Anolis sagrei: one gene and its partner. The protein of the gene in region 1 binds, or shares a complex with, the protein of each later gene. Links are inferred from orthologs where the notes say so. Each region holds a gene or a part of one and is shown on either strand. Other genes may lie near its edges.

Region 1 (16,261 bases):
ACAATTTCAACAGAAAGGAAGAGACCATGAGAATGAACACAATCTGACTACCAGCAGGCCCGTAGCCAGGATTTTGTTTCGGGGGGGGGGGGGGGGGGCTGAGTCTGATTGAAAGAGGGTCTACCCTAGCAAACTTTTTGTATTGTTACCCCAATACCCCCATGCATATGAGATATATTGAGCATGGTGATCAGATCATGATATGAATAAACATAACAGTTTAAATAATGTACCACTATGGCCTTCTCGCGGACCACCATGACAATTTTGGGGGAGGGGGCTGAAGCCCCCCAAGCCCCCCAAGCCCCCCCCCCCCCGGCTACATGCCTGGCTACCAGTATTAAAAAAAATCTCTAAAATTACAACAGCACAACAAAAGAGAGGAAACAAACAAGGACATCTAATCACCTCTCAACAAAAGTTTGCTCTAGGCAATGGTCAGGCCATTATATGCTAATCAAGGTGGTCAGCTGAAACATTCACACCTAGCTCCAGCAGATAAGAGCCCTTTGTCTCATCCTGGTCATTCCACAGATATATAAACCCATTTTCCTAGTTCCAACAGACCTCACTACCTATGAGGATGCTTGCCATAGATGCAGACGAAACATCAGGAGAGAATGCCTCTAGCCCAAAAAAACCTACAACATCCCAGGACTTCTTTATTTATCATATCAGAAGCATGTATAAAATGTAAAAAAAAATGTATAACATCACAAAGGACTACCACTTCACCCACCTCATAGGAAACCTGCTACAAAACAGGAGCTTTTTGGTTGAGTTCCAGGGCCAAAGAAGCAGATGGCGGAAACAGAAGAACGACCCCAAACCCCACTAATGTTCGTGCCAAGTTTGGTCCAGATACATCATTGTTTGAGTTCATAGTGCTCTCTGGATGTTTGGTCCAAACAATGATGGATCTGGACCAAATTTGGCACGAATTCTCAATATGCCCAAATGTAAACACTAGTAGGGTTTGGGGGAAATAGACCTTGACATTTGGGAGTTGTAGTTGCTGGGATTTATAGTTCACCTACAATCAAAGAGCATTCTGATCTCCACCTATGATGGAATCGAACTAAATTTGGCACACAGAATTCCCATGACCAACAGAAAATACCAGAAGAGTTTGGTGGGCATTGACCTTGAGTTTTGGAGTTGTAGTTCACCTAGATTCAGAGAGCACTGTGGACTCAAATAATAATTGATCTGGACCAAACTTGGCATGAATGCTCAATATGCCCAAATGTGAACACTGGTGGAGTTTGGGAAAACAGACCTTGACATTTGGATGTTGTAGTTGCTGGGATTTATAGTTCCACCTCCAATCAAAGAGCATTCTGAACCCCACCAACGATGGAATTGAGCCAAAATTGGAACACAGAACTCCCATGACCAACAGAAAATACTAGAAGGGTTGGTGGGCATTGACCTTGAGTTTTGGAATTGTAGTTCACCTACATCTAGAGAGCACTGTGGACTCAAAAAATGATGGATCTGGACCATCTGGACCATTGTTCCTTAATGTGAACAATGGTGGAGTTTGGGGAAAATAGACCTTGACATTTGGGAGTTGCAGTTGCTGGGATTTATAGTTCACCTACAATCAAAGAGCATTCTGAACCCCATCTACGATGGAATTGAACCAAACTTTTCATACAGAGACCCCTATGCCCAACAGAAAATCCTGTGTTTTCTGATGGTCTTTGGCAACCCCTCTGACACCCCCCTCACGACCCCCAGGTTGAGAAACACTGTTGTAGGGACTCAGGGTGGTTTACAACAAATATCGGCAAACATTCAATGCCATTAAGTACTAGGCAAAATAATAATAATAATAACAACAACAACAACAACAACAACAACAACACCAAAGCACCCAAATCCCACAAACCAAATCGACATCTTCAAGAATAATACAAAATTGGGCGATGAAAACAAAACTACAAATTCACAGCTAAATTAAAAACAAAAACAAACAAGGAACAAATATATCAAGTTCAAAGGTATAAAATTAATTAAAATTTATGGGTTTGAAAGCTTGCAGAGATAAAATGACAGATTATTTCCCTTCCAGGGTGACTATACGTGATTATGGAGGCAAGCAGGAGTATCCCAAGCCTCAAATTTTGAATTTCTCATTCCTTTTAACCAATATATAACTCAATGGAGTTCTAAAACAGCATCTAATGTGTGCAATATATTGATTTAATGTATTTAATTGAATGTATCTTCCACATTCATCATTATACGAATTAGTCATTGGAAAGAGCTCACACTCCAAAGGGATAATTTGCAGGCATGGGCCCTCCAAGTGTTTTGGACTACAACTCCCACAATTCCTTAAGCGGCTGAGGGGGGAAAGGAAGGGGCCTGAGGCTGTTAGGAATTATGGGAGTTGGAGTCCATAAACACCTAATTGAATGTATCTTCCACATTCATCATTATACGAATTAGTCATTGGAAAGAGCTCACACCCCAAAGGGATAATTTGCAGGCATGGGCCCTCCAAGTGTTTTGGACTACAACTCCCACAATTCCTTAAGCAGCTGTGGGGGGAAAGGAAGGGGTCTCAGGCTGTTAGGAATTATGGGAGTTGGTGTCCATAAACACCTAATTGAATGTATCTTCCACATTCATCATTATACGAATTAGTCATTGGAAAGAGCTCACACCCCAAAGGGATAATTTGCAGGCATGGGCCCTCCAAGTGTTTTGGACTACAACTCCCACAATTCCTTAAGCGGCTGAGGGGGGAAAGGAATGGGCCTGAGGCTGTTAGGAATTATGGGAGTTGGAGTCCACAAACACCTGGAGGGCCCAAGTTTGCCCATGCCTGATTTAGGATATTCCCAGTTGTGAAGAAATAAAACGCTGCGAGTGATGTACAATTGGAAGCCATTTTTGTCTGCCTCGGACATATTTCCATCGTTTCGATTCCAATGTCTCCTCACGACAATGGCTTCCAAACAACCCATTTCTCCCTTCATTTTTTGAGTTTCTCCCTCATTTCTTTCCAAGAGTCTCCAGTAGATTATGTCTTGATTCCTCCATTTTCTCTCTTCTTCTTCATACGGCTTTGTTAATACCTTTTGAGAGGAGATGTGGACGGATACAAAATGGACGCCGTCCCTCTAGAATTCTCCACAGAAACCAATTGCTTTGGGACAAATTAGGCCTCTGCAATGAGCCATTGAAGCCCCTTGTATAAAATCCACATCGAATTAGATTATTTGTCAGTCTGGACTCAGATAATCCAGTTCAGAGCCGATATTATGGATTATCTGTGTTAATATTCTGGATTATATGGCTGTGTGGAAGGGCCCTGTGAAGCACATTTGTTTGGGAGTTGTAGTTGCTGGGATTTATAGTTCACCTACAATCAAAGAGCATTCTGAACTCCATCAATGATGGAATTGAACCAAACTTGGCACACAGAACTCCCATGACGAACATAAAATACTGGAAGGGTTTGGTGGGCATTGACCTTGAGTTTGGGAGTTGTAGTTCACCTACACCCAGAAAGCACTGTGGACTCAAACAATGATGGATCTGGACCAAACTTGGCATGAATACTCAATACGCCCAAATATGAACACAGATGGAGGAAATGGACCTTGACATTTGGGAAGGGTTTGCTGGGCATTGACCTTGAGTTTGGGAGTTGTAGTTCACCTACACCCAGAAAGCACTGTGGACTCAAACAATGATGGATCTGGACCAAATTTGGCATGAATACTCACTACACCCAAATATGAACACAGATGGAGGAAATGGACCTTGACATTTGGGAAGGGTTTGGTGGGCATTGACCTTGAGTTTGGGAGTTGTAGTTCACCTACACCCAGAAAGCACTGTGGACTCAAACAATGATGGATCTGGACCAAACTTGGCATGAATACTCAATACGCCCAAATATGAACACAGATGGAGGAAATGGACCTTGACATTTGGGAAGGGTTTGCTGGGCATTGAACTTGAGTTTGGGAGTTGTAGTTCACCTACACCCAGAAAGCACTGTGGACTCAAACAATGATGGATCTGAACCAAACTTGACATGAATACTCAATACGCCCAAATATGAACACAGATGGAGGAAATGGACCTTGACATTTGGAAAGGGTTTGCTGGGCATTGACCTTGAGTTTGAGAGTTGTAGTTCACCTACACCCAGACAGCACTGTGGACTCAAACAATGATGAATCTGGACCAAACTTGGCATGAATACTCAATACGCCCAAATATGAACACAGATGGAAGAAATGGACCTTGATATTTGGGAAGGGTTTGCTTGGCATTGACCTTGAGTTTGGGAGTTGTAGTTCACCTACACCCAGACAGCACTGTGGACTCAAACAATTATGGATCTGGACGAAACTTGGCATGAATACTCAATACGCCCAAATATGAACACAGATGGAGGAAATGGACCTTGACATTTGGGAAGGGTTTGCTGGGCATTGACCTTGAGTTTGGGAGTTGTAGTTCACCTACACCCAGAGAGCACTGTGGACTCAAACAATGATGGATCTGGACCAAACTTGGCATGAATACTCAATACGCCCAAATATGAACACAGATGGAGGAAATGGACCTTGACATTTGGGAGTTGTAGGTTTTTTTTGTTTTGTTTTTTTGTTTTTGGTTGTGTCTGGAGCAACCGCTCCTGTTGTGAGAGAATTGGCCGTCTGCAAGGACGTTGCCCAGGGGATGCCTGGATGATTTTTGATGTTTTATCATCCTTGTGGGAGGCTTCTCTCATGTCCCTGCATGAGGAGCTGGAGCTAATAGAGGGAGCTCATCCGCCTTTCCCCGGATTCGAACCTGCGACCTGTCGGTCTTCAGTCCTGTCGGCCCAGTGCTTTAACCCACTGCGCCACGGGGAGTTGTAGTCACTGGGATTCACAGTTCACCTACAATCAAAGAGCATTCTGAACCCCACGAACGACAGAATTGGGGCAAACTTCCCACACAGAACCCATCATAACAACAGAAAATACTTAAGGCCATCCAGTCCAACTCCCTTCACCAGGGCAAGAAAACGTAATCAAAGTCCTCCTGACAAAGAGCCATCCAGACATAGATAGAGATAGAGAGATAGAGAGATAGAGAGATAGAGAGATAGAGAGATAGAGAGATAGAGAGATAGATAGATAGATAGATAGATAGATAGGGAGTTGTAGTTGCTGGGATTTATAGTTCACCTACGATCAAATAGCATGATAGAATTGAACCAACCGGGGCATACTGGACTCCCATGACCAACAGAAAACACTAGAAGGGTTTGGTGGGCATTGACCTTGAGTTTGGGAGTTGTAGTTCACCTACATCCAGAGACTACCATGGACTCAAACAATGATGGATCTGGACCAAACTTGGCATGAATACTCAATATGCCCAAATATAAACACAGATGGAGTTTGGGGGAAATATACCATGACATTTGGGAGTTGTAGTTACTGGGATTTATAGTTCACCTACAATCAAAGAGCATTCTGAACCCCACAAACGACAGAATTGGGGCAAACTTCCCGCACAGAACCCCCATGACCAACAGATAATACTTAAGGCCATCCAATCCAACTCCCTTCATCAGGGCAAGAAAACGTAATCAAAGTCCTCCTGACAAAGAGCCATCCAGACATAGAGATAGATAGATAGATAGAGAGTTGTAGTTGCTCGGATTTATAGTTTACCTACAATCAAAGAGAATTCTGAACTCCACCAATGATGGAATTGAACCAAACGTGGCACACAGGACTTCCATGACGAACAGAAACCACTAGAAGGGTTTTGTGGGTATTGATGTTGAGTTTGGGAGTTGTAGTTCACCTACATCCAGAGACTACCATGGACTCAAACAATGATGGATCTGGACCAAACTTGGGACAAATATTCCATATGCAAAAATATGAACACAGATGGAGTTTGGGGGAAATAGACCTTGACATTTGGATGTTGTAGTTACTGGGATTTATAGTTCACCTACAATCAAAGAGCGTTCTGAACCCCACCAGTGACAGAATTGGGACAAACTTCCCACACTGAACCCCCATGACCAACAGAAAATACTTAAGGCCATCCAGTCCAACTCCCTTCACCAGGGCAAGAAAACACAATCAAAGCCCTCCTGACAAAGAGCCATCCAGCCATAGATATAGATAGATCGAGATGATTCACACACACACACATAGTATCATAGATTTGAAAGGGATTCCTAAAGAAGGACAATTATATGTTGCATGTTCCAGAGTGGGTAAACCAGGCAATCTCTACATCAACACTGGCAAAGAAGTACTTGCAACTACAGGGGAGGAGGATAAAGATTTGAACTTCGTTGAAGTCTGTTCCATGGGTTAACATCACATAGGAATGTGGCCACTGGCTGCTGTCTCGCGTTATTACACGGTGTTTAAAAACAGTTTGCAAACCATGGTTTGTAAAAGTCTGCAAAATGAGGATTTCAAGTCATGGTTCAAACTTTGGATTGTTAATTTGGATTGTTAATACACAAACTGTTGACGTCTCACTGTTAGGCCAATGCTGGCCTAACAGTGAGAGGTTAGGGGTTGTTGCACCACTGTGATGGAAGCGGAACTACTTAGGTGAGAAGATGGGAAATAAAAATAGACAAGTAGCTAAAACATAGTTGTTTTTCATGTATGACAAAAAGCTCAAAACATGTAATAGGTTTGTAATTGTTCTTGTTACAACCACATTTGAGATGTAAGAGCTAAACTATCTTAGTATGCTCTGTATCACCAAAAGGCAAAATCCATATAATTCACCTTAGCTAAAAGCTAAGCTAAGCTAAAAGTTAAGCTAACCTAAAAGATAAGCTAAGCTAAAAGCTAAGCTAAGAGCTAAGCAAAAAGCTAAGCGCTAAGCTAAGCTAAGCTAAAAGCTATGCTAAAAACTAACCTAAGTGAAAAGCTAAGCGAAAAGTTAAGTGAAAAGCTGAGCTAAGCTAAGGTAAGCGCTAAGCTAAAAGGTAAGTTAAAAGCTAAGCTAATCTAAATGCTAAGCCAAGCGAAAAGCTAAGGTAAACTAGACTAAGCGAAAAGCTAAGCGAAAAGCTGAGGTAAGCTAAGCGAAAAGCTAAGCGAAAAGCTAAGCGAAAAGCTAAGCGAAAAGCTAAGCGAAAAGCTAAGCGAAAAGCTAAGCGAAAAGCTAAGCGAAAAGCTAAGCGAAAAGCTAAGCGAAAAGCTAAGCGAAAAGCTAAGCTAAAAGCTAAGCTAAAAGCTATGCTAAGCTAAAAGATAAGCCAAGCTAAAAGCTAAGGTAAGCTAAGTTAAGTGAAAAGCTAAGCCAAAAGCTAAGCAAAAAGATGAGCTAAGTTGAGCTAAGCTAAGCTAAGTGCTAAGCTAAAAGGAAAGCTAAAAGGTAAGCTAAAAAGCTAAGCTAAACTAAACTAAGCTAAGGAAAGCTAAGCTAAACTAAGCTAAGGGCCTAAGCTAAGCTTACATATTTTGTGTTAAATCTTGAAACTCTCCCAATTTCCTATTCTCAAGTAGACGGATTTCGTAAGACTGACCTTGGTTGAGATAGGTCAGGGTTTTTTTTCATGAAGTTTCACAGCAGGCGATATAGCTGCAAAAAAGCTCATATTGAAATGGAGGGAGCTTGGTGTCATTCTCAGGGGAAAGGTGAGGCTCTTCTTGTTTAAAGATCGGCAGTGCGAGGACATCACGCAAGTAGCTGCCTGTGGAGTGCTGGTTGTAATGCTCCAGCTAAGCTGAGCTAAGCTAAGGGCCTAAGCTAAGCTAAGGGCCTAAACTAAGCGAAGCTAAGGGCTTAAACTAAACTAAGCTAAGGGCCTAAAATAAACAAAGCTAAGCCAAGCCAAGCTAAGGGGCCAAGCCAAGCCAAGCCAAGCTAAGGGGCCAAGCTAAGGGACCAAGCCCAAGCCCCAAGCCAAGCCATGAATATGTCTCCCTTGCGCCTTGCCGTGCCTTGTGCCGCATTGCGCCGCCTTTCGCCGCCTTGCGCGCCTCACCTCGCCTCGGAAAGCATCCGATGAGAGATCCAATACAACAGCCAGCAGAGTGATCTTGTCTTTTTGTGTTTCTAATAAATAATAATAATAAACCAGTAAAGGTGGTCCCAGTGGTGATCGGCACACTGGGTGCAGTGTCTAAAGACCTTGGCCTGCACTTAAACACAATCAGCGCTGACAAAATTACAGTCTGCCAGCTGCAGAAGGCCACCTTACTGGGATCTGCACGCATTATTCTCCGATACATCACACAGTCCTAGACACTTGGGAAGTGTCCGACGTGTGTCCCATACAACAGCCAGCAGAGTGTCTGCTGTGGACTCATCTTGTTGTGTTTCAAATAATAATAATAATGATAATAATAATTTTATTTCTTAACCGCCTCTTCCCATGATTGATCCAACACTTCTTCATCTTCTAAGCAATCATAATATGACGATAATATACATATTTTGAGGTAGGTTGGATTGCAATTCCATATGACACATGCATTTCAAAGTATGGGCTGCATGTACACCGTAGAATTAATGCAGTTTGGTGGCACTTTAATTGCAATGGCTCAGTGCTATGGGATCATAGTATGGGCTGCATCTACACTAAAATTAATGCAGTTTGCACTTTGATTGCAATGGCTCAATGCTATGGGATCCTAGTATGGGCTGCATCTACACTGTAGAATTAATGCAGTTTGACACCAATTTAAATGCAATGATTCAAAGCTATGGGATACTAGTATGGGCTGCATCTACACTGTAGAATTAGTACAGTTTGACACCAGTTTAATTGCAATGGTTCGATGCTATAGGATCCTAGTATAGGCTGCATCTACACTGTAGAATTAATGCAGTTTGACAACAATTTAAATGCAATGGTTCAAAGCTATGGGATACTAGTATGAGCTGCATCTACACTGTAGAATTAGTGCAGTTTGACAGCAGTTTAATTGCAATGGCCCAATGCTATGGGGTCACAGTATGGGCTGCATCTACACTGTAGAATTAATGCAGTTTGACACCAGTTTAATTGCAATGGCTCAATGCTATGGGCTCCTAGTCTAGCACTCAAAACCACATTAAAAATCTCGAAAACTAAGAATTAGTAGGGTCTAATTCTTAGATTTCGAGGTGAAAGGATTTAAAAAAAGCCAGGACACAAATATTTGGATTCCCCCCCCCCTTGGAATGGTACGGCCCACTGCGTTCGCTATCTCAAGTAAGCTTTGCTGGACGAGTCCAAGTGTCGAGCCACAAGGGGGGGGGGAGACGGGAAAGAAGAGGAGGTCGAGCTCTCCGCCGCTAGGCGTCTCTCTCTGAAACCCTCTCGCATCCCGGCAAGCCTTGCGACTCTGTCTATGGTAGGCTTCGAACCAATGACAGCGGAGGAGCAAAGCAGAGGCGGGGCAAGAGTGCGGCGGTTGCCGGGGCAACAAGATGCGCCGCGCGCGTTCCGTAGTTTCCGTCGGTTGCCGTGGCAACGGATAACTTCCTCGCGTCGCGCCGTTGAAGAGTCATGGCGGAGGTGAGTGAAGGCCGCAGTTCTCGGTTTTTGATGTATGCTTTTCTCTGCTGTCAGGCGAAGGCTCTTCTCTCTTCCTTTGTGGCCCAATTCCTCATTTCCCTATTTATCTTGTTGTTGTGGTTGTTGTTGTGGCTGTTATAGTGGTTGTGGTGGTTGTAGTGGTTGTAGTTGTTTTATAGTTCTGATTGTAATTGTTGTGGTTGTAGTTGTTTTGTAGTTGTTGTGGTTGTGGTGGTTGTGGTTGTTGTGGTTGTAGTTGTTTTGTTGTTGTGGTTGTAGTGGTTGTAGTGGTTGTAGTTGTTTTGTAGTTGTGTTGTGTGGTTGTGGTTGTTGTGGTTGTGGTTGTTTTGTAGTTGTGATTGTAATTGTTGTGGTTGTGGTTGTTGTGGTTGTAGTTGTTTTGTAGTTGTGTTGTTGTGTGGTTGTGGTTGTAATGGTTGTAGTTGTTTTGTAGTTGTTGTGATTGTAGTTGTTGTGGTTGTAGTTGTTTTGTAGTTGTTGGGTTGTGGTTGTAGTGGTGGTTGTGGTTGTAGTGGTTGTAGTTGTTTTGTAGTTGTTGTGATTGTAATTGTTGTGGTTGTAGTTGTTTTGTGGTTGTTGTGGTTGTGGTTGTGATGGTTGTGGTTGTAGTGGTTGTAGTTGTTTTGTAGTTGCGATTGTAATTGTGGTTGCAGTTGTTTTGTTGTTGTGGTTGTGGTTGTTGTGGTGGTTGTGGTAGTTGTGGTTGTAGTTGTTTTGTAGTTGTTGTGATTGTAATTGTGTAGTTGTTGTGGTTGTAGTTGTTTTGTAGTTGTTGTGGTTGTAATTGTTGTGGTTGTGGTTGTAATTGTTGTGGTTGTGGTTGTTGTGGTGATTGTGGTTGTAGTTGTGTCCCTTCAAGTTGTTTCAAAGTTATGGCTGCTCCAAGGCGGCCTTTTCCCAGGGTTTTCTTGGCAGGATTTGCTTTCCTCTGAGACTGAAGGTGTGTCTCTGGTCTAGATTGTAGAATTAACGCAGTTCGACACCGCTTCAACTGCAATGTCTCAGTGCTATGGAATATTGGGGTTTGCCTTTTGGTGAGGCTTCGGCCTTCTAGGTACCGCTCCGGCGGGAAGGTAACGGCGCTCCATGCAGTCAAGGCGGCCACATGACCATGGAGGTGTCTACGGACAATGGCGGCTCTTTGGCTTATATAATAATAATAATAATAATAATAATAATAATAATCTTTATTTATACCCCACTACCATCTTCCCAAAGGGGACTTCGGGCAGCTAACATGAGACCAAACCCAAAAATAATACAGCAAAGTTAGACACAGAATAACAGAAAAATTACATCACAACAAAATACATAAAGAAACAAAATAGAATAAACAGTGCAAATTAACACAATAAAAATCAAAAACAAAGGGCGGGCCAAATGAGCAAGATAAAATGTTAAAACATTGAAACCCTGGGTGAGGTAGGAATAGAAAAAAGTGTATTTAAGAGGAAGGAGGCCAAGAAGGAGGCTTAGAAATGGAGATGAGCACCAACCCCCAGAGTCGGACACGACTGGGCTTAATGTCAGGGGAAGCCTTTACCTTTACTCGGCCTTCTTGGGCACGGAAGTCATAGATCTTGGGGAACCACAACTCCCAGGATTCTATGGCATTTAAAGCGAGATTTTGATATTTTTCTACATTTATTTATTTATTTACGACATTTATATGCCACCCTTCTCACCCTGAAGGGGATTCAGAGCGGCTTACAAGATATATATACAGTATATTATATTATTAGTATAGCACAATATCAGTATTATATATTACTATATTGTACTATGCCATTATATTGTAATATTAATTATTATTATTATTATTATTATTATTATTATTATTATTATTTCCAGAATAGGAAAACTCCCAACAACCTGTCCCAGAAGCACTTTATTAGACTTTAAGATTGCTTGCACACTGCACTTACCCTAAAATCCGACATACCACCTGTCACATCAGCACTTTTAATCTGTACCTATTACATTTGGCCCGGCCCAGTTTTATTGTGTTTTGGTGTATTGTTTTATTTTTCTGTTGTTTTTGATATTGCTTTAATTGCTTTGATTTGCTCTGTGTTGTGTATTTGTTATGCTATGTTTTTGAGGCCTTGGCCTTTGTAAGCCGCATCGAGTCCTTCGGGAGATGCTAGTGGGGTACAAATAAAGTTAATAATAATAATTTTAATATTATTAGTAATATATAATTATACTTACTTACTTACTTACTTAGGCGATCCCTCGTTGTCCGAGTAGGATAGTCTTCCAAGATCAGTGTACAGGCTCCATAGATGACTGTGGAGTCCTATTCTTGACCCACATATTCTCCCGCAGTGAGGGCATTGGTTTCCAGGTGGAAAATGGTCCCAGTCAGGGTTGGCTTGATGTACCTTCCTCTTGGCCCTCAATTTGTGCCTCTCCAAATTCTACAGCAAATTCACAGCTGACCTCCAGCTGGAGCGCTCAAGGGCCAGGGCTTCCCAATTCTCATTATAATATAGTATTGTATTGTATTACATTATAACATTATAAATATTATTTGTATATACAGTATATTATATTATTAGTGTAGCACAGGAGACAAGGTGGAACTGGCTTCCTGGCCCCCTCTCTCTTCACTCTGTCCCATAAGGTTTTTTTTTTTGAGTTCCCAAAATATATATTTCCTGTCCAATTGAAGCATTCACACCTGCCTCCAACAGGCAAGAGTTCTTTCCCCGCCCTGGACATTCCAGAGATATATAAATCCCATTTTCCTAGTTTCCAACAGACCTCACAACCTCTGAGGATGCCTGCCATAGATGCAGGTGAAATGTCAGGAGAGAATGCTTCTAGAACATGGCCATAGAAGAGGAGAAGAAGAAGAACTTTATTTTTCTACCGCGCCTCCATCTCCCCAAGGGGACTCGAGGCGGCTTACATGGGGCCAAGCCCAAGGCAACATACAATTAAAAACGGAATAGTAGCACATTAAAACACAATAAAACAGCGTAGACAATAATAAACAAGCATAAAAAGCAACAACAGACTCATTTTTGGAGGGGGGGGGAGGGGGCCAATAAATAAAAACTAGTTAAAGGATAGGGTGGTCAGTAAGGTGGATAGAAATGTATAGTAGCATAGAAATAATGGCATAGAAATAGAGCAGTTAAACAGGATCAATTTAGCTTAACTTAAGAAAACTTGTGTAGCCGTTTTCTCCTGTAAGTTCTACTTCTAGGAAGAAGTGACAACAACTTTGTTGCCCATTGAAAACTTCCACATGCTGTCAACAGTTATCATTATCTGCAGGGGTGGATAGCAGGTCCAAATTAATTTACTTGTGTTGCTAATAACAGATGCAGTGTAGACAGCTGGTTTACTTTCTGATCCCTTCTTTGTCCATGTAAGCTGTATCTTGTAGATGTTCTCTCAGTGGAAGACCAAAACGATCAGGGGTATGAATCTTCTCATGAAAGCCATTGTAGTATAGTAGTAAGATCCAAGAAGACAAGGGTTTGAATCCGTCGATCAGCCGTCAAAACCCACTGGGTGATCTTGGGCAAGTCACATTCTCTCGACCTCAGAGGAAGCAAAGGCAAAGCCATTCTGTTAAAATCTTGCCTAGAAAACCCCATGATAGGATCCCCTTAGAATCACCAAAAGTCAGAAATTATTTGTAGACATGCGACAGCAACAAATAATGTGTTTCTCGATAGCTAACTACACAGAGAGTGATACAAGTCCTACTTTTCTCCAGGAGGCTATTTATTTATAGAATGTGATGTTGTAATGGCCACTGGCTTAGATGGGATTTAAAGGAGACTAGATAAATGCTGCTGTTACTAGCAGTGGTGGAGCCCCCGGTGGCACAGTGGGTTAAACCCCTGTGCCGGCAGGACTGAAGACTGACAGGTCGCAGGTTCGAATTCGGGGAGAAGCGGATGAGCTCCCTCTATCAGCTCCAGCTCCTCTTGCGGGGACATGAGAGAAGCCTTCCACAAGGATGATAAAAACATCAAATCATCCGGGCTTCGCCTGGGCAACGTCCTTGCAGACGGCCAATTCTCTCACACCAGAAGCGACTTGCAGCTTCTCAGGTTACTCCTGACATGACAAAAAAACAAAACAAAACAAAAAAACAACAACTAGCAGTGGTAACTAAAGGGGGTCTTCATGTCCACAATTATGAACAGTTGTGTGCTAGAAATTTCTGGAGACATCATGGTGGACACTCTATCAGTCAATAATGGCAAATGAAAGCAGAGACAACCAAGGAAACAGCATATCTAGTATTAAACAATCAGAACCTTGACCCTGAGCCATTCCATCTCAGCACACAGGCTTGTTAATAAAATACATTCAATTAATTTTTTTTAAAAAGAGATTTCAGTTCTTTGTTTTTAAGAGCACAGATGTCCACATTTTTTGTTAAAATGTAGCCTCCATTCTGTTGACCAGAGTTCCTCTCTTCTACTTGCCTTGACTTTTCTCGTTAAACAGGTAGAAATATTGTATCAGAGTCAAACACCGACTCTGATTTTAGCAATCGCATACTTAAACATGTCAATAAATCCAACCATTAGACTAGGGGTCCTCAAACTTTCTAAACAGAGGACCAGGTCACAGTCGGATTATAATTTGAAAAAAAAATGAATTAATTCCTATGCACACTGCACATATCTTATTTGTAGTGCAAAAAACACATTAAAACAATACAGTAATTAAAATGAAGAAGAATTTTAACAAATATAAACTTATTAGTATATCAGTGGGAAGTGTGGGCCAGCTTTTGGTTGATGAAATAGGGTTGTTGTTGTTGTTGTTGTTGTTGTTGTGTGCTTTCAAGTCATTTCAGACTTAGGTTGACCCTGAGCGAGGGATGGATAAATGACCTTGGGGGGCCGTATCCGGCCCTCAGATCTTAGTTTGAGGACTCCTGCATTAGACTTTGTATGGACTATTCCCCCCCCCCCCCCAAATGCAATTGTATACTGATTAAATCTTTAGATTTGAGTCATGTTTTCACTAAGATGGTACACTTGTATCTGGAACTAGATCTACACTGCCCTATAATCGGGATTATCAATCAGATAATCCACATTATCTGCTTTGAATGTGAATCTACACTGCCGCTCCGAGTCCCCTTCAGGGTGAGAAGAGTGGCAAATAAATGTCGTAAATAAATAAATAAATAAATACATAAATACATAAATACATAAATCAATAAATAAAATCTAGATCAAATCGGATAATCTGGATTTTATATGGCAGTGTAAATGCAGCCTGGGTTGTGCTACTTTAGAATCCAGTGGGAGGTCACATAGTTAAATGGCACTGACAAAAAATCCCTGTATTTAAAAATCTGGAATATCAGGGAGAAGAAACCTGGCCTAGCTAACTTTCAGTGAGGACTTCTTTTTGTCTTTTGTTTTTGAATAGAAGAGCACATTTTCTTGCTATGAAGTGAGAGGACAGAGGATTATTATGTTTTAAATAACATATTGTTGTCTTAATGGCTATGTGTCTTTTCTGGATGCATATCAGACATCAAGACTATCTGAATTCATCTAGCCTCTGCATGTGTTGCTGTCTGTCTACGTTGCAAAATAGCTCATTTTAGGATATTAATCCTTTTATTGCTTTTTAAACCATTTCAGACTGCATCTTTACCAGCAATCACAGAACATCCCAAAGCCCGCTCAGGAAGAGGTTGGTTCTATGTTTTTGTATTTTTCCACTCTGCCACTGGTACATCGGTTTGCAAAATGGTAGTAAAGACTTTCTGTATATATTTCAGATTTCAGTATTAATGTCGTGACCCAAAGAACACAGATTGTCTCAAACAGCAATTGAGATGTAAAATAATAGTCTTTTAATGAATAACAAACTTAATGAGGCACTTTAACATCAGTGAAGGCAGTTCAAAAGGTGTTTTCAGGCAAGAACATAAACAGTAGATAATCCGGATATCTAGCAGGCTTGAATAGCAGCCAAAAATAAACAGGAGATACAAGAGTTTGTAGCAAAATGCAAAGCAAAATAGTCTCTAAGAAATACAAGGTTCAGAGCAAGGTCCGATAGGCAAATACGTAGTCCAGTCAATTCCAAGGTCAGGTAGCCAGGCGTAACACTCACGAACGAAGATTCCAAGGTCCGAAGGAACACGGCAGGGAAACAGGATACTGGGAATCCAAGCAAGGTTAGGCAGAGTAACACCACATAACAACACTTTGTTGTCTGCAAAGAAACAGTTCCCAATGTGCACATTTTATTCACTATCAGAAGATTGGGATTCATTAGACTCATCTGATTCTCCTTGCGCAGCTGAAGCATCTAAGCCACGCCAAGTTTGCCACCTTTGTTCTAATGCCTGATCCTGCCAAGAAGATCCCTCATTCCAGTTATCCTGAAAACCCTCAAAATCATCGCTGGAGGTTGTTTGATTGCAAATGTCTCTAATGTTCTGAACCAGAGTCCAGTCTAAAGCCTCCTCCATCTCATCCTCACTGGCACTGGAATTATCTGCTGTGTCTTTAAGCCTCTTAGACATAGTGTCACTATCACTGCCAGACTCACTGGCCACTCTCTTTACTCCCCTGTAATCTGCTTCCATAGCTTCCTCTGGGCCGAATCCTGCAAAGTCTTCCGAATCACTGGAAGCCAGAAAGATGTCACGAATACGTTTCAGCTGACGCTGATTCTCCTCTGCTTCTGCATCACTTCTTCTTCTTCTCCTACTACTAGTAGTAG
Region 2 (16,325 bases), on another chromosome or scaffold:
TTAGAACTGTAGGTGTCCTTTCATAAATGGTGAAGGAATAGGGCATGTGCTGTTTAAGTGTCTGTCCAACTGCATAGTGACATTGGCCACCTGGGACTATGTAGGACTGTGTAGTTTAATTGGGACTTTGGCCCTATCTGTTTTGACCATTTAATGTAGTTCAGAGGTAGCTTCAAGCTGCAGTGATCAGACAACAAACTCCCACAAAAGCATGCAAAAGAAAGCCCTTAATGTACACCTGTGCTCTGTCGTTTGTGTAATCACTATCTGGGCCTCAAACTGGTTCCAGGATTTCCTATTTATTCATAGGCACCACACAGCACTGCTTTCTTCAAATAGCAGTTTAAAACTGCATTAAACACTGCAGATGGCCCTTTTGTCACCTTGAACAAGATACCTTGGAATACTTGGTCAAATGTATCTGTAAAAGCTCATGGGTCTTCACATGATTTGTATGTTTGTAGAAGAATAATGCCATTGTATAAAACAAAATTAGGAATGGGTTTTAAGGTTAGAAAAACTGAACACAATGGATGCCTATGTAATGAGCAGGGAATTTTCGCAAACACATGGACCTCTGTGCTTTGGCAAATTTTCAGTGCATTATCCAAACCATAATTGCTGCTGCAGGAACCAAATGAAGCCAATATGGAAATCAGCATGAGATTGCTAAACTGGAGTACTTTGTACACGTTAAAATCCGTGGAAGTTAACAGAACTTTAATTTGTCATAGGAAGGAAGTACCCAGCTGCAACGGATCTGAAGAAGAAAAGGATTTGTGAACTGATAAAATTGCTCAAGTCCTGCTCTGCTCAATGCCTTTCCAGCAAATACTTTCCATGTGCCTCCATAATTTACGGCATGCTACAGATGGCTGAAGCCTTCCTATTTAGAGAGGAAAAAAGAAAGTGCCTTTTCAAATTTGACATTTAAAATGCCTTATTCTATTAATCTCTCACTCACACACACACCTTGTCACAAATATTTATTTACATCAGGGGTGCTTTGTTTCTGCCTAAAAGCAGATTCCAAATCAGAAAGTTTTTACAATTTGTCTCTTTGCACTTTATATCTGCGGATATGGATACATTTCTCCCAAGTAAGAAACATTTTAGAATCCAATCTATTTCAGCCCCTTTGAAAGAAATGATAGTAACCATCCGCCTTCATTTCACAGTTACCAATTGCTATTTTTCTCAAAGGTTGACAGTTTGGCATATAGACAGGCTTAATGTGAGAGTACAAGTTAAAATGAACAAGGGAATGGCAGACTTTTGTCAGATTTAATTCTCACATAATCAGAATTTACTGGATTACTTTCTCAAACATCTGCTGCAGCCAACCTGGTATTTTCCAGATGTTTGGACTGCAACCTCCATCAGCACTAGTCAGAATCAGAAATTATTTTATTTTATTTACTTATTGTATTTTACTCCGCTCTATCTCAACCCCAAAGAAGACTCAGAGCTGCTTCCAAATTGGCAATAATTCAATGCCACATTAAGACATAAAAACATACAAAATACGTTATTCATTATAATCATAAAACAGTAACATATACACTTAAATAAGCAGTTTAAAACATAGCACATAGTCCTGAAATCATAGTCCAAAATCAGTTCCAATCACGTTAACTTCGTAGCTGCATCTTGCGCTGTAACTACTCTCCAAACACTTGGTTCCATAGCTACGTTTTTCTAAAGGACAAGAGGTAGTTGTAGCTTCAAGTTGGCAAAGACTAATAAACCAAATGCATATTAGGGTATGGAAGATGTAGGTTACTCCTCCAGTCTCAGGAAAGAGGAACGCCATTGGCTCAAACTGATGTCAAAAGAAGGAGGCCCTGAATCATAGAATCACAGAGTTGGAAGAGACCACAGAAACCACCCAGTCCAGCCTCCTGCCATCCAGGAACATACAATCAAAGCACCCCCGACAGATGGCCAGCCAGCCTCTGCTTCAAAACCTCCAGAGGAGACTCCACCATGCTGCAAGGCAGCATATTCCACAGTCGCACAGCTCTTAGTACTAGGGAGTTCTTCCAGGAAAAGATATTCCTTCAGGTGGAATTCTTTTCCTGAAATTTGAATCCATTGCTCGGTGTCTTAGTCTCCAGAGCAGAAGAAAACAAGCCTGTTCCTTCCTCAATATGACATCCTTTCAAATATTTAAACATGTTTATCATGTCCCCTCTCAGCCTTCTTTTCTCCAAAGTAAACATACCCAGCTCCCTAAGACGCTTCTCATAGGGCTTGGCTCCCAAACCTTTGATCATTTTGGTTGCCCTTCTCTGGACCCGTTCCAGTTTGTCAACATCCATTATGAATTGTGATGCCCAGAATTGGACACAGAATTACAGGTGAGGTCTGACCAAAGCAGAATAGAGGGGCACCATGACTTCCCTCAGTACTATACTCCTATTGATGCACCCTAGAAATTGCATTGGTTTTTTTAAACTGCTGCATCACATTGTTGACTCACGTTCAGCTATTGGTCTGCTGATTTCAAGTCAGGTATGTTGCTTGCACATTCAGTGTGCATTTATTTCTGCTGGGTGAGTTCAGTCCTTAGAGACACCACATCTACATGGGAAACAAGCCTATATGCTCTCACAGCATGTAGATTCTAGACAAAATAAATTGTCAACCTGAGAATAAGGCCAAACATATTTTTATGTTTTTAGTTGCTGGGAAAATTCCAATGAATGAGTGTTCATGGGCATCCTTGGAAGATACGATCTCCTGTTATATAATCAAAACATTGTTTTCCCTGTGCAAAAAGGAAGTTTCAGAAAGTCTGTACCAATATAACCACAGCAACATATGACCAGAGGATTTTTCAACCTCACAAGAACTGGGTGTTGGCACGCCTTGTTTAATTTTTCTTGTGACACCCAACTTAAAACTTGTTCGGAATGAACTGCACAAAGGCAGGAAACAAAACTTAGCCTCACCCTTTGCCTAGAGTGCTGGCATTTGTCATTTCCAGGCAAGCATTTTTAGTAAAATTCATTTTCTTTAACTTAATAGCCGAACAGTAACACAAAACAAGAACACAGGTGACTGCCAGTGAGGACATGAGATAGCTTTCACAGCCCACAAAAAAACATGAAGTGCTATTAAAGGGCAGCAATTCAATTATTTTATTCATTATACTTGTACTATGAGATACGAGGCATTTAGATATTCTCTTCTTAAGCATCAAAATCCCTTGAGGCACTGTGGAGATTAAGGACCATATAACTTAATTTAGGAAGAGCTGCAGAGCAATTGTTCTTAAAGGAAAAAAATGACAAAGAACTAACTAAAGAACACATTACTCATGATAAACTTCTGAAATCCTCATCTTCTCTTCCCGCAGCTGATGAAGTTGGTTGATGGGCCAAGTTGTAAATAGAGTCATAAAACAACAGAAGACTGGAAATAAAACTATTTCTCTCTTCAGTTACTTTGTTGTTGGAGATTTATAAAAACATTTGAGAGATAAAAATAGATGCCTCTAAAACAAGCTTGCAGAAATAGAACTCTCAGGGAAGAAAAGGGACTGGAAATAGGACTGGAAATGGGATTGGTCATTATTGCTGTATGTTTGGATAGAAAATATATAGGGGGAGGATGGACCACCGATGATGGGATTTGCAGTACCTTGGCCAAAGTTATGCAATGGCACACAATTAGTAGATAATAAATTGATGAACAATCTAATTGAAGCAACAATTCTGAATGGTCCTCATAAAGGTGAAGAAATACTACTTCCACGAATACCACTCATTCTGATAGACATGGCGTTTGAGTTCAAACAACTTCAATTTCCAATATGCCTTGCGTTCACTATGGCTATCAATGAAGTGCAGAGGCAATCTTTGCAAGTGTACAGTTTGAATTTAAAAAACAATTGTTTCTCTCATTGCAAGTATACATTACATGGTCCAGACTCAGAAAACTGTCTGACCTTTATGTTTATGCAGAAAAAGAACAAACCAAAAATGTAGTCAATCCACTAGCTTTACAATAAAAATTTCTGTTTGTTTTTTTTAAACCCCTCTTTTTCTTTGCTTTCATTCCACATAGACACAGCAAAGCAAAGCAGGGTATTGAATTGAATGATGTGTTTCCTCAGTGAACCTATGTTCGCAACAATACTTTTATTTGCTTTCACATTCATTTCCTATTAGACTGAACCACAGCAAAGCTTGGCTGTGTTTAGCTAGTATCTCTATGAATTAAAATCCCTGTTGGAGTCAAACTGTTTTATGAAATGTTAAATGCACATTGATAATCCAAAGCAGTATAGGTTACTGGTTCCAATAGTTGAGATCTCACCAGATCAATAAAGGGTAGACCTAATGAAGGAATTGTGCAGTACACTGATGGATAAATATGATTGATCAGTAGTGAATACTTGCTGCTTAATCATACCTGAGGCATTCTAAGCCTTGACCTGCAATCTAGGCAAGCATTTATTTAAAAAAGGATGTTGCTACACTGTAGAATTAATGGAGTTTGATACCACTTGTAGTTTTACAAGGTCTTTAGCCTCAATGTATTCTCAAAGGCTTTCGTGGCCAGAATCATTGAGTTGCTGTGAGTTTTTCAGGCTGGATGGTCATGTTCCAGAAGCATTCTCTCCTGACGTTTCACCCACATCTATGGCAGACATCCTCAAAGGTTGTGAGGTTTGTTGGAAACTAGGCAAGTGAGGTTTATATCTCTGTGGAATGTCCAGGGTAGGATAAAGAACTCTTGTTTGTTTGAGACAAGTGTGAATGTTGCAATAGGCTACCTTGGTTAGCATTTAATGGCCTTGCAACTTCAAAGTCTAGTTGATTGCTGCCTGGAGGAATCCTTTGTTTGAAGGTTTGTCTGGAATTCCCCTGTTCTCTGAGTGTTTGCCAAAGAGGGCTCATCAAACTACAGCCCCCATGATTTCAGACCATTGAGCCATGACAGTTCAATTGGTGTCAAACTGCATTCATTCTACAGTGCAGATATACCCAAACTCCCATCATATACAACAACAGCACGGTCCTATATATGTACTCAAAAGCACAAGTTGTTGTTTCATATAGAGTCTTAGACTATGAAGCAAATGAACACAAGAACAGGCTATATGCCACTTCGAGATCATTGTCATAATTTTTTTATGTGTAGTGCATTTATCCGTCTTCAGTTCACTTGAATCCAAGTTAGTCCAATTAGGAAACCAAGTTAGTCCAATTTCGGGCAAGTTTGCCATTAAATTAATACAATGGAAAACCTGCCTGAAATTGTCTCTCCTTAAAAGGAGCAAAATAGACAACGAAATAAACATATGGAATCCAAGCGTGCATCTACATAGTAGAATGAATGTAGTTTGATATCACTTTAACTGCCATGGCTCAATATTATGGAATCAAAAGAGTTGTAGTTTGATGAGGTACCAGTATTCATTGGCAGAGAAGACTAAAGGCATCATGAAATTACAGCTCCCATGATTCAATTGCATTGAGCCATGATATTTGAAGTGCGGTCAGACTGCATTAATTCAACAACATAGGGCCCTTACACACAGCCCTATATCTCAGAATATCAAGTCAGAAAATCCCACATTATCCGAGTGTGGACTCGGATCATCCAATTCAAAGCAGATATTGTGGAATTTTCTGCCTTGATATTCTGGGATATAGGGCTGTGTGGAAGGGCCCATAGATACACCATTAGCCATTGTTTTGGATATGTCAAGAAAAATGCAATAAAGAATCTTCTGCCACTTTCAAGACCCAACAAATTTATTGTGACATGAGTTTTCATGGATTAGAGACCGGTTCGGCAAATGCTGGAAGTATTACTGTGGATTGGAATGAATTGGATTTAAGCTTGGCTCACTAAAGGCAGCCAGTAAACTGTTTTGTTTTTTTCTGAGCAGATTAACTTGTTTCCTTATCTAATTCAGCCATAGACTTCCAAAGCAACAAAGCAAGTTGTGAGAGGATGATCAGGAACTTCCACAGAAAGAGGTTAATGAGGTTGGAAAGGAATACTAAAAGCTCCTTACCTGTGAAACCTGCCCAGCCAACCCAACCCACACCTATTGTTGAGGAAAGACATACCTCCATGACCCTGGTCCTGAAAGGCGCCCTGTCAGCCTCCTCCTCTTAGCCAAGAATGATGTAACACAGGTGTACACAAAGGATCGAATGAAGTAACTTTTGAGCCGAGGCAGAGAAAGATAAAGACATTAGATCTGAACTCTGGAATGCCCCTCTGGCATGGCAAAATGCCTCTCTCTGGGATCTTAAGTAGGGCAGTTTATGTGTTAGCAAGACTGGTTTGTACTTCTCTTTAAATGTGCAACAACCCTTCTTTCAAAAAGAAATCAAGTCCAAGCAGAGTGCCTCAGCAGTGCTGGGTACAGAAGACGCAAAAGTATTTTTACTACATGTGTCAAGAGGATTGTGGCCCACTAAGCTAAGGACTGGAGTTCCCAGTGGTGCAGTGAGTTAAAGCACTGAGCTGCTGAACTTGTTGACCTAAAGGTCACAAGTTCAAATCCGGGGAGCAGTGTGAGCTCCCGCTATCAGTCCAAGCTCCTGCCAACCTAGCAGTTTGAAAACATGCAAATGTTAATAGATCAATAGGTACCACTCTGGCGGGAAGGTAACGGCGCTTCATGCAGTCATGCTGCCCACATGAACTTGGAGGTGTCTATGGACCGCGCCGCCTCTTCGGCTTAGAAATGGAGATGAGCGCCAACCCCCAGAGTCGGACACGACTGGACCTAATGTCAGGGGAAAAGCTTTACCTTTACCTAAGCTAAGGACTGTACAGGTAACATTCAAAAAGTATAGTAAAATCAACTGTATGTGCAAAGCGCACAACCTTCCTCTGCACCAAACCTGCAAAATACTGTAGTCTCAGTTAACCAGCACCCAAGGGGATTGTTTGATGGCATATAAATGTAGTTTCTGGTTGCCTGAGAGTTAGTATTAAAACAGGACTAACAAATTAAAGTTGGAAGAAACCACATGGGCCATCCAGTCCAACCCCCTGCCATGCAGGAAAAGCACAATGAAAGCACTCCTGACAGATGGCCATCCAGCTTCTTTTAAAAGCCTCCAGGGAAGGAGCTTCCACCAAACTCTAAGGCAGAGAGTTCCACTGCTAAACAGCTCTTACAGGGCCCTTCCACCCAGAATATCAAGGCAGATAATCCACAATATTTGCTTTGAGGTGGGTTGTCCAAGTCCACACTGGCATATCACCCAGTTCAAAGCAGATAATGTGGGATTTTATTCAGCTGTGTGGAAGGGGCCATAGTTTGTGGCAGCTACAAAAACAACGTTAATCCCAGAATGAGGATAGCGTCAACATGGACAACGCGCCTGGAGATGGCAGCACGGCTGGGCAGCAGTCCTAAACTAGGAAGACAAGAGCCGTGCAGGTACTGCGCATGCGCTTGGCTATTTGACGTCCTCTGCAGGGAAGGAGCCCCGATTGGAGCGAAGAGGGGCGCTCTATCTGTGCCTCTCTATGGTGCCCTTCGAAGCCCAGCACTCAGCGGAGTCGCCCGGAAGCCGGAAGTGCCTCTTGAAGTCTGGGGCGGAGAAGTCCTTCCGTGTTTTACTTTGACCCTGTGGCGGCGTTGCCATGGCAATGCGCGAGGAAAGAGCCTTGTTGATCCTAGGCCGCGCGAAGGGCGAATTAGAAGCGGGTTCGTCGGTGTTTGGCTGCTCTAAACTTGTAAGTAGAGAAGACTGGAAGGCCCTGGCTGGCCTCGTGTGTTCCTGAACTTATGACGACCCTATAAGGCAGGCATCTTCAAACTGCGGCCCTCCAGCTGTTTGGGCCTCCAACTCCCAGAAGCCCTAACGAGCTTGTTCAATTGTCAGGAATTCTGGAAGTTGAAGGGCCGCAGTTTGAGGATGCCTGCCATAAGGATTTCATAGGCAAGGAAATGGCCAGTTTCTCCTTCTGAAATACCACCTATTGGTGGTCTCCCATCCACGTACCAACCAGGGCTCACCCTTCTTAGCTTCTAAGACTAGAAAGGATCTGGTTCCTTTAGGCCAGGCATGTGCAAACTTCGCCCCTCCAGGTGTTTTGGACTTCAAACCCCACAATTCCAGATTCTTTCCTTTTAATCTAGATTAGTGTTATCGTATTTACACAGTATTTCAATACAGTATCATGCTGTATTTCATTGTATGTTATTTCATCAATCTACCCACCCCCCACACACATTAAAAGGCAATGTTTCTATTCTTCCCGAGTTCTCTTGGCTCTTTTGATAAAGTTTTTTTTAATCTCCTAGTTTAGGAGACCTCTCGGGGCCTTTCCACACAGAATATCAAGGCAGAAAATCCCACAATATTTGCTTTGAACTGGGTGATCTGAGTCCACACTGCCATATATTCCAGTTCAAAGCAGATAATATCGGATTTTATTTATTATTTATTTACAGTATTTATAGTCCGCCCTTTCCACCCCGCAGGGGACTCAGGGCGGATTACAATGTACAATATTGCAAAAATTCAATGCCAAAGACACACAACAGATATAGACAGACAGTCAGAGGCTATTTAACTTTTCTGGCCACCAGGGGAGCTATCGCTTTCATCGTCCATCTGCGACACTGATGAAGTACTTCCGCATTCCCCGCATGCTTTTGCTAGAGTGCTTTGCTGGCATCTTTTTTAATGGCCTTGTAAATTAGTTAAATTAGCCTCCCCACACATAGGTGGTACCTAATTTTCCTACTTGACAGATGCAACTATCTTTTGGGTTGCAAAGGTCGACAACAAGCTACACAATTGGTCAGAAGCTCACTCCGACCCGGGTTGGCTTCGAACTCATGACCTTTTGGTCAGAAGTGATCTTAATGCAGATGACACTTAGCTATGCCACAGTCCCGGTGGAAGGGGCCTCATACACACCTTGGGGAGTTTCTTTACTAAGTGAATTGATTGAATTAGTGTATTGATTCTGGATCTGGAAGGTATGATGGAGGGGGCAGCATATTAATAGTCTTCTGGCAATTTCTCATTCAGTGCAGATTGAGGCCAAACAATGTCTGAACCAAAATTCCGCGAGGTGTTGCCCAAGCAAGGTGAGTGACCCTTCCCAGCACGATACCACAACTTTACCAAAGCCTTTTAGGAACCCTTGTTTTAGGACTTTTAGTTTTATATTAATACATAGATTTTAACATTTTTCAGCACTATTGAATATTTGGTTTCATTATGTATTATTTCAATGTTTATATTGTGTGTATTTTATAAATGCTGTTAGTCACTTTGGGCCCTTGAGTGGGGAAAGGCAGGATAAAATTGGCATGAATAAATAAACACATGTCACAGATAAAACACAATACATGGTTGCCAATCTTTAGATCAGTGGTTCTCAACCTGGGATGCCCAGATGTTTTTGGCCTACAACTCCCAGAAATCTCAGCCAGTTTATCAGCTGTTAGGATTTCTGGGAGTTGTAGGCCAAAAACATCTGGGGACCCAGGTTGAGAACCACTGCTTTAGATGAATGTGTGTTGCACAGGATCAGGCACCTTATCTCATAGTATCCCTTTCCACCCATTTGGTTTGTGATATTATCTCAGAGAGAAAATAATTCCTAATGTTGCTCAGGACTCCACATTAACTAGGATTAAGGGCCCAGGATCCTTGTGAAATAAATTGCATCTCTCCCCCCCCCCCCCCCCGAAAGGAATACTTCTTTAGGAATTTCTAGATCTTCCGGCTGTAAGATTCTATGTTCAACTTCCATAGAATATAATTGGAGGTTCCAATTATTCCAAAAGAAGCTTTCTATCCCAAGGTCCTCCAACATAACTGAAGAAAGTTGACCAGCACATTGGACCTAGTGAGAACATTTTTAATCAAAATTGTGAATAATCAAAACAGCAAATATGGAGGGATGGCTGTGCTTCCCTTTACAACAATAAAATGTTTATTTTTTGTTCTTTAATGCTGTGTGCAACTCTACTTTTTTGAATTGGACATTTATCTTTAACCATAAGAATATTGTTTATTTATTTACCGTATTTATATATCGCCTTTCTCAGCCCAAAGGCAACTCAAGGTGGTTTACAGTTGGCAACAATTCAATATCCCCAACACATAAAATAGAATTTAAAACATTTAGCATATAAAATAAAAACCCATACAAAACCAATAAAAGCATAAATCATCAGCGTCTCCTTACTATTCTTTGCTGAAAAGAATATTACTTCTGTACAAAGTAATATTCTTCTCAGCAAAGCTATCTTTCTGTTCTCATTGTTCCCATTGGAAGCAGGCTATATGTTGCCTTTGAGTCTTGACCAGCATCTATAATGCAGCATCTATAATGCATTATACTTAGGAATAATCAACATTTCCTTCTGGAAATAGATTTTAGCTCATCGCTCATTGTTATGATATACAGATTGTTTCAAAATAATGGGCCCAATTTGCAATACTGTATCGCTGCAACCACAAACCATGAATGAAACTGTGCCACTTGAAGAAGTGGGGTATTGAATTTCAAAGGATTACTGCTAAATGCCTCTCCCAGCACATAAACAGGGCTCAGTCATTTGCAAGATGGTGACTCCACAACATAAGGTCTAACAAAAATACTTAACATTTGTGGTGGATTTTTATTGTTTTTAGATTTGTTTTTGGCTCAAAATGCATAGTAAAACTTGATAACTCATTAAACTTTTTGAAACTTTTTGTATAAACTTTTCGTGTAATTATAACACCATGAAAAATATTGCTTTAAACTTAGGTCCATCATTTTGAAATACCCTGTATATGCCTCTGAAAATACATGTGAAGCCATTCTACAGGAGTAAATATACCTGCCCTCCGTTTTAAATTACTGCTTATTTAAGGAATATTTGGTGGAGACTTCTATGTTCTCTATCCTGCCCAGGAGCTAGTAAGTTTGCCAATTACAACCATGGATTCTATACTGTCTGAACCAGGCTATGTAATCTAGAAGACTATGTGAATTTCATTGTTTATCTTTCCCCCCTCATTCTAGGAATGTTAGCAGTAGAAGATGTGACTACAATGGTATTGTGTAAGCCAAAGCTGCTCCCCTTAAAATCAGTTACGCTGGAAAAGCTTGAGAAGATGCAGCGTGAAGCACAGGAAACAATTAGGCAGCAAGAGCTTGCCCAGCAGAGTTCAAAATCAATAGAGTAATAGGAAAAATAAAGAATAATGTATATAGCAATTCTTTATTCACCATTATGATAGATTGTTTGCTGATTGCAACCCTGTAAATATTTTAAAATATCTTGATTAAAATGGCATTTGATGTCCTCCTTTTGGAGTTCTGTGATTGTTTCTAATTCTACCTTCTGTTATTGAACTTTGTTCAGATTGCCATTTATAAATAACATCAGTAAAATCTCTTTGTTCTTTTGAGTACATTTGCAGAAAATGTGATGCCAGGCTTTTTTCCCCGTTGGATGTTTTGTGCCTTCAAACTGTTTGATTTAAGGCAGCCCTAAGATGAACCCCATCATGGGATTTCCTTGGAAAGATTTGTTGCCTGGAGGGTTTCCATGACTGAGTAGGGATTTCAGCACCATGATGTTAGCCTAATGCTCATACCATTTTGCAACATTGGCTCTTTCCTATCTATAGAATGTGTAACACATGAAATGCATACCTTTTAGGTATGATACAGTCCCTGTATCCAAGGACTCATCTACTCACATCCACCAAAATATGTCCTCTAGGCATTTTCTAGGCTCTGCAGCGTGGCTCTAAGTTACTTCTGGTGGAATTTGTTCACTGCAATAGGGTTTTCTATTACTAGTGGTTTTCTGTTTTCACAGTAAATTCAGATATGTATCCCCCATGAATACAAGGGATATACCATATATAAAATTTATTTATTTACCATACTTGTATTCCGCCTTTCTCAACCCCGAAGGGGATTCAAGGTGGCCTTACACAGGCAACAAGTCAATGTCGCATAAACACATACATCAATGAATAAACAAAAACAATAAAACCAACTAAATAAAACATATTAAAATAGCAATTAAAATCACAAAATCCAGGACATATTCTAGGGCCAGCCTGGATCGTCATTCAATTAAGTTATAGCTTCTTATTGCACTGCTCCCATTATTGACCAAAAGCCTGATCCCAGCGCCATGTTTTTAGTTTATTTCTGAAGGCCAGATTGGGGGGGGGGGGGGTATCTAATTTCACTGGGGAGGGAGTTCCATAGACAAGAGGCCACCACTGAGAAGGCCCTGTCATTCGTCCCCATGAGGAAGTGGGATCAAGAGCAGGGCCTCCCCTGACGATCTTAGCCTCCGAGGTGGGTCATAGAGGGAGATACATTCGAACAGGTGAGCTGGGCCGGAAGCGTTTAAAAGTGTGTAAGTTGTTTAAAACAATGATTTCAGATGCCATTCAGGGACTGATTCCTGTGGCTCACTCCTGCCAGTCAAGGGTTCTTCAGAGCATAGTGTTTAATGCAAGAGTGAATGCATCCATATTAAAAGGAGCAGCCAATACTGGGTATTACTTGATCCTGTCATAACATCAATATCTTAGCAGCATTAATGCCTGCAACCTTGTATGAAAATGTCCTCTATACTTTCCCTTTTGGATTTAAAGACACAATAATGCCAGGTCTGCAGTAATGCGTGTTAATTAAGATTTGAAAGCTGGGTTTACCCCTAGGTGCTAGTTTGCTTCCAGTCTACTAATAATGGGGGGGGGGGGGGATGTCAGTGTGTAATTCATGTATGATGTGTGTTTAAATGTAATTTTATGTGATAGGATTGTGATTGTAATAGAATTGTATTGCCAGGATGTATTTTGACACAGAAGGGTTAAACAGCAAAGTAATAAGCTGTGAGAATGTGACCCTGAGTTCTTGCTCTGTGAAAGATTAGGGAGTGCCAGAGATAAACTTCCTTCCAGCTGCAGTTTGTATTTGTTCCTATCTCTTTCGGTTTGTGTTCTTCACGTCTGTCCACTGATGGTGTATGTTGTCTATTTTGAGCTGCTTAAGTAAAGCAAAAAACCTGCTTTTACTGGAGACTCCAGAGTCCATTATTCCGAGCTTCTGCGATACTCTGCTAACGCCAACAATAGGTTATGGGCCCACACTGACCGGGCTTGTTAACCTGGACCAGCTGACCTGCAGAGCTGCTGACCAGGTTGGAGGCTGTGATCGAAGCTGTGTGGTTTGGACTGGTGACTGGAGCCTGTTTTCACCAAGAGCTGGTGAGTGTCTTCGAAAGACTGATTCTGGGAGTAAGCAGAGTTGTGAACGGGGCGCGCTGGACCCAGAGATTGATGATCGGAAAGTGTGAAGCCGTAAAGCCATAAAGTTGGAAACCAGAGGGGAGACTGCCAGAATCCACTGACGGTGTGAATCAGCGGCTGGGCTTGAACTCAGATCGCGAGGGTCTCCTGTGGTGAGAATGGCTGCTTCTAATCCAATGCCAATGATTGAGAGACTGAGTGACCATAATTATAAGCAATGGTCTGTGTTTATGCAGCATCTGCTTGCGAGAGATGGCTTGCAAAGGACTATTTTAGGCACAGAAGTTGACCCAGAGAAAAATCAGAAAGGGCTGGCAAGCCTGATCCTTTGTTTGATGCCCGATCAACTGGTTCATGTGCGAGGTCTGCAAACTGCCAAGGAAGCTTGGGATGCTCTCCGCACTGTACATTTGAGAGAGAGCACACTTGGTAAAATGATATGGACTAAGAGATTGTATTGTGCCAAACTGGAGGAAGGTGGAGATGTAAGAGCACATGTGAAAAAGATGAAAGAGCTGTTCTTGGAATGCCAAACCAGAGGTGTCGATATCAGCAACAAGAATCTAAGTTATATTTTGATGTCTTCACTTAATGATGGATGGGACCATTTATTATTTTCGCAACAAACTGTGAGAGCCCAGGATCTCACGTTGGATTTAGTCTGTTCGAGAATCCTGGAAGAAGAAGGCAGACGATTGTTTGAGGGAAAACAGCATGAAGGCTGCAGGAATGAGGGGGAGTCAACACAAACGGAGACTGTTCCTGCCAGCGTGCGAACAGTAAAGGCTGAAAGGAGATGTTATGCCTGCAAGGAACCAGGACATTTGGCCAGAGACTTCAAGGCAAGGAGAAATCAACCCAGAGGCAGCCGCGCCAGAGGGGGCTTCAGCAGAGGAGGACGCCGTGGTGGTGGAGCACCGGACTTTGCTGAAGCTAGAGCGATGATGGCAGCCACAGGAGATGCTATAGACAATGATCTGAATGAAGGTGATGGTGAAAGTGATATGAACTGTGCTGAATATGCGAATAAGGACTTGAATGTACCTTTGCATAACTCATGTGCACATTTCTTTCACAGAGTGATGGGACATGTAAGTTTTCGTGGTCTAGAAAAATTAGCTAATGTATGTCCTGAGTTAAAGATGCTCAAGTGTGATAAGTTTTTGGACTGTGCTATATGTAAACAAGCAAATATCGAAGTATACCTTCTAGTAAAAAGAAGTAAAATGAAGGCTAGTTGGCCTTTTGAGGTTGTCCATGCTGATTTGGCTGGACCTTTTCCAGAAAGTGAAGGAGGAGCTAAGTATTTCTTTGTTATAGTGGATAGATTCACTAGGTATGGATTTGTGTATAATTTAAAGAATAAGAGTGATGCCTTCTCAGTATTCAAACAATGGGTGCAGATGATTGAGAGGACTTTTCCTCACAAGGTGGCTTCTTTAGTCACAGATGGAGGTGGAGAATTTTGTAGTAATGTTTTTCAAGAATGGCTTGCAGAAACTGGTATTCAACATAAGACTACCAACCCATATACTCCAGCTGAGAATGGACTAGCAGAAAGACGCATAGGTATTATTAATAGCATGAGGAGTGTATGTTGAAAGATGCTGAGGCACCCAGTAATCTATGGGGAGAAGCACTCCATACTGCTAACTATGTATTGAATAGAGTGTGGTGTTCAGCAATAAATCAGACTCCATTCTTTGCCCTGTATGGTAAGCCACCCAATCTAAAACATTTAAGAATTTTTGGGCAATTTGCATATGTACTTATTCCAGCCCAACAAAGAAGGAAGGGTCAACAAAAATGTCAAAAGTTACGGTTTACTGGTTATGAAGGAAATAAGTATCGTTTTTATGCAGGAAATGGAAGAATAATTCTTTCCAGAAGTGCTAATTTTGAAACGCATAGTGGATGGGAAAGGATACACTGTAATAAAGAAGTGTTTGTTCAATTTGATAATAAAGATGATGAGACTAGAGACACAAATGTGGGTATTGAAGAGGTATTGTTGTCAGACATTGAGGAAGTGTCAAATGTTCCTTCACCACGTTCTAGACTTAGGGATAGAAAGAAGAGAGACCTGAAGCTAGTGAGAGAACTGTAAGTGAAGAAAGCAGAGTGATACCTTGTGATGAAGTGAAGCAACAGCAGTCAGTGAAAACAGAAAGTTTAACGCCTAGTAAAAGTTCACCCAAGAATAAAACAGCAAAAACAACAGACAGGTAAAGCAGGAGGAACAAGAAGTTCAGTTGGAACAAGTAAGTGCAGGGAAGAGAGAAGAAACAAAATATATGCTCATTCCTTATTTGTCCAAGCCAGGTAAATTCCACAGAATCCCAGTAGGAAAAGACTATACTGATGATGATAACTGTGAATGGTAATCATATTGTTCAAAGAATGTAAAAGTGACGTTTTGAAGATGTGTTTTTTGCAGAAGATGTGTTTGTGTATAGTCGTTTATAAGATTGTATTCTGTATTCCCTGTGCGTATGGATTGTGATAAGAGATTGCTCTATACTGTTGTCTAGTTTGATAAATGATGTTATAAATAGAGTTAAGAAAACAAATGAATGTTACTTATAGAGGTTAAGATTTTATTGTGGTTAAGATAATGTGTATATAGTAAGGACAGAAAATTACATTTAAAGAGGGGGAATTGTCAGTGTGTCATGTATGATGTGTGTTTAAATGTAATTTTATGTGATAGGATTGTGACTGTAATAGAATTGTATTGCCAGGATGCATTTTGACACACAACAGCAAAGTAACAAGCTGTGAGAATGTGACCCTGAGTTCTTGCTCTGTGAAAGATTAGGGAGTGCCAGAGATAAACTTCCTTCCAGCTGCAGTTTGTATTTGTTCCTGTCTCTTTCGGATTGTGTTCTTCATGTCTGTCCGCTGATGGTGTATGTTGTCTATTTTGAGCTGCTTAAGTAAAGCAAAAAACCTGCTTTTACCAGAAACTCCAGAGTCCATTATTCTGAGTTTCTGCGATACTCTGCTAACGCCAACGGGGGGGGGGGGGGGGGGGCAACAATTATTGCT

Evidence for each region.
Region 2: the proteins of BBS4 (region 1) and BBIP1 are in contact, whole or in part, in a cryo-EM structure (PDB 6VBV), measured with the Bos taurus proteins. The link is inferred for Anolis sagrei from reciprocal best matches to the Homo sapiens genes BBS4 and BBIP1. Residues at the interface, in NP_001069424.1 of Bos taurus: Leu210, Leu213, Tyr236, Leu240, Ala241, Ser244, Gln247, Thr248, Ser269, Pro271, Asn274, Asn275, Met278, Phe281, Gly282, Lys284, Tyr298, Leu299, Pro301, Leu302, Asp303, Trp304, Lys305, Ile306, Tyr308, Asn309, Leu312, Leu315, Thr316, Gln318; in XP_003587939.1 of Bos taurus: Met7, Phe8, Arg9, Glu10, Val11, Leu12, Pro13, Lys14, Gln15, Gly16, Gln17, Leu18, Tyr19, Val20, Glu21, Asp22, Leu28, Lys30, Pro31.

Annotation. Positions count from the first base shown.
Region 1 is NC_090029.1:31,600,720-31,616,980, reverse strand, and holds the start of BBS4 (Bardet-Biedl syndrome 4 protein), read left to right. Parts: upstream 1-9,451; 5' UTR 9,452-9,505; coding exon 9,506-9,514; intron 9,515-15,168; coding exon 15,169-15,220; intron 15,221-16,261.
Region 2 is NC_090023.1:209,394,069-209,410,393, forward strand, and holds BBIP1 (BBSome-interacting protein 1), read left to right. Parts: upstream 1-7,516; 5' UTR 7,517-7,719; intron 7,720-9,026; 5' UTR 9,027-9,045; coding exon 9,046-9,085; intron 9,086-11,019; coding exon 11,020-11,183; 3' UTR 11,184-11,305; downstream 11,306-16,325.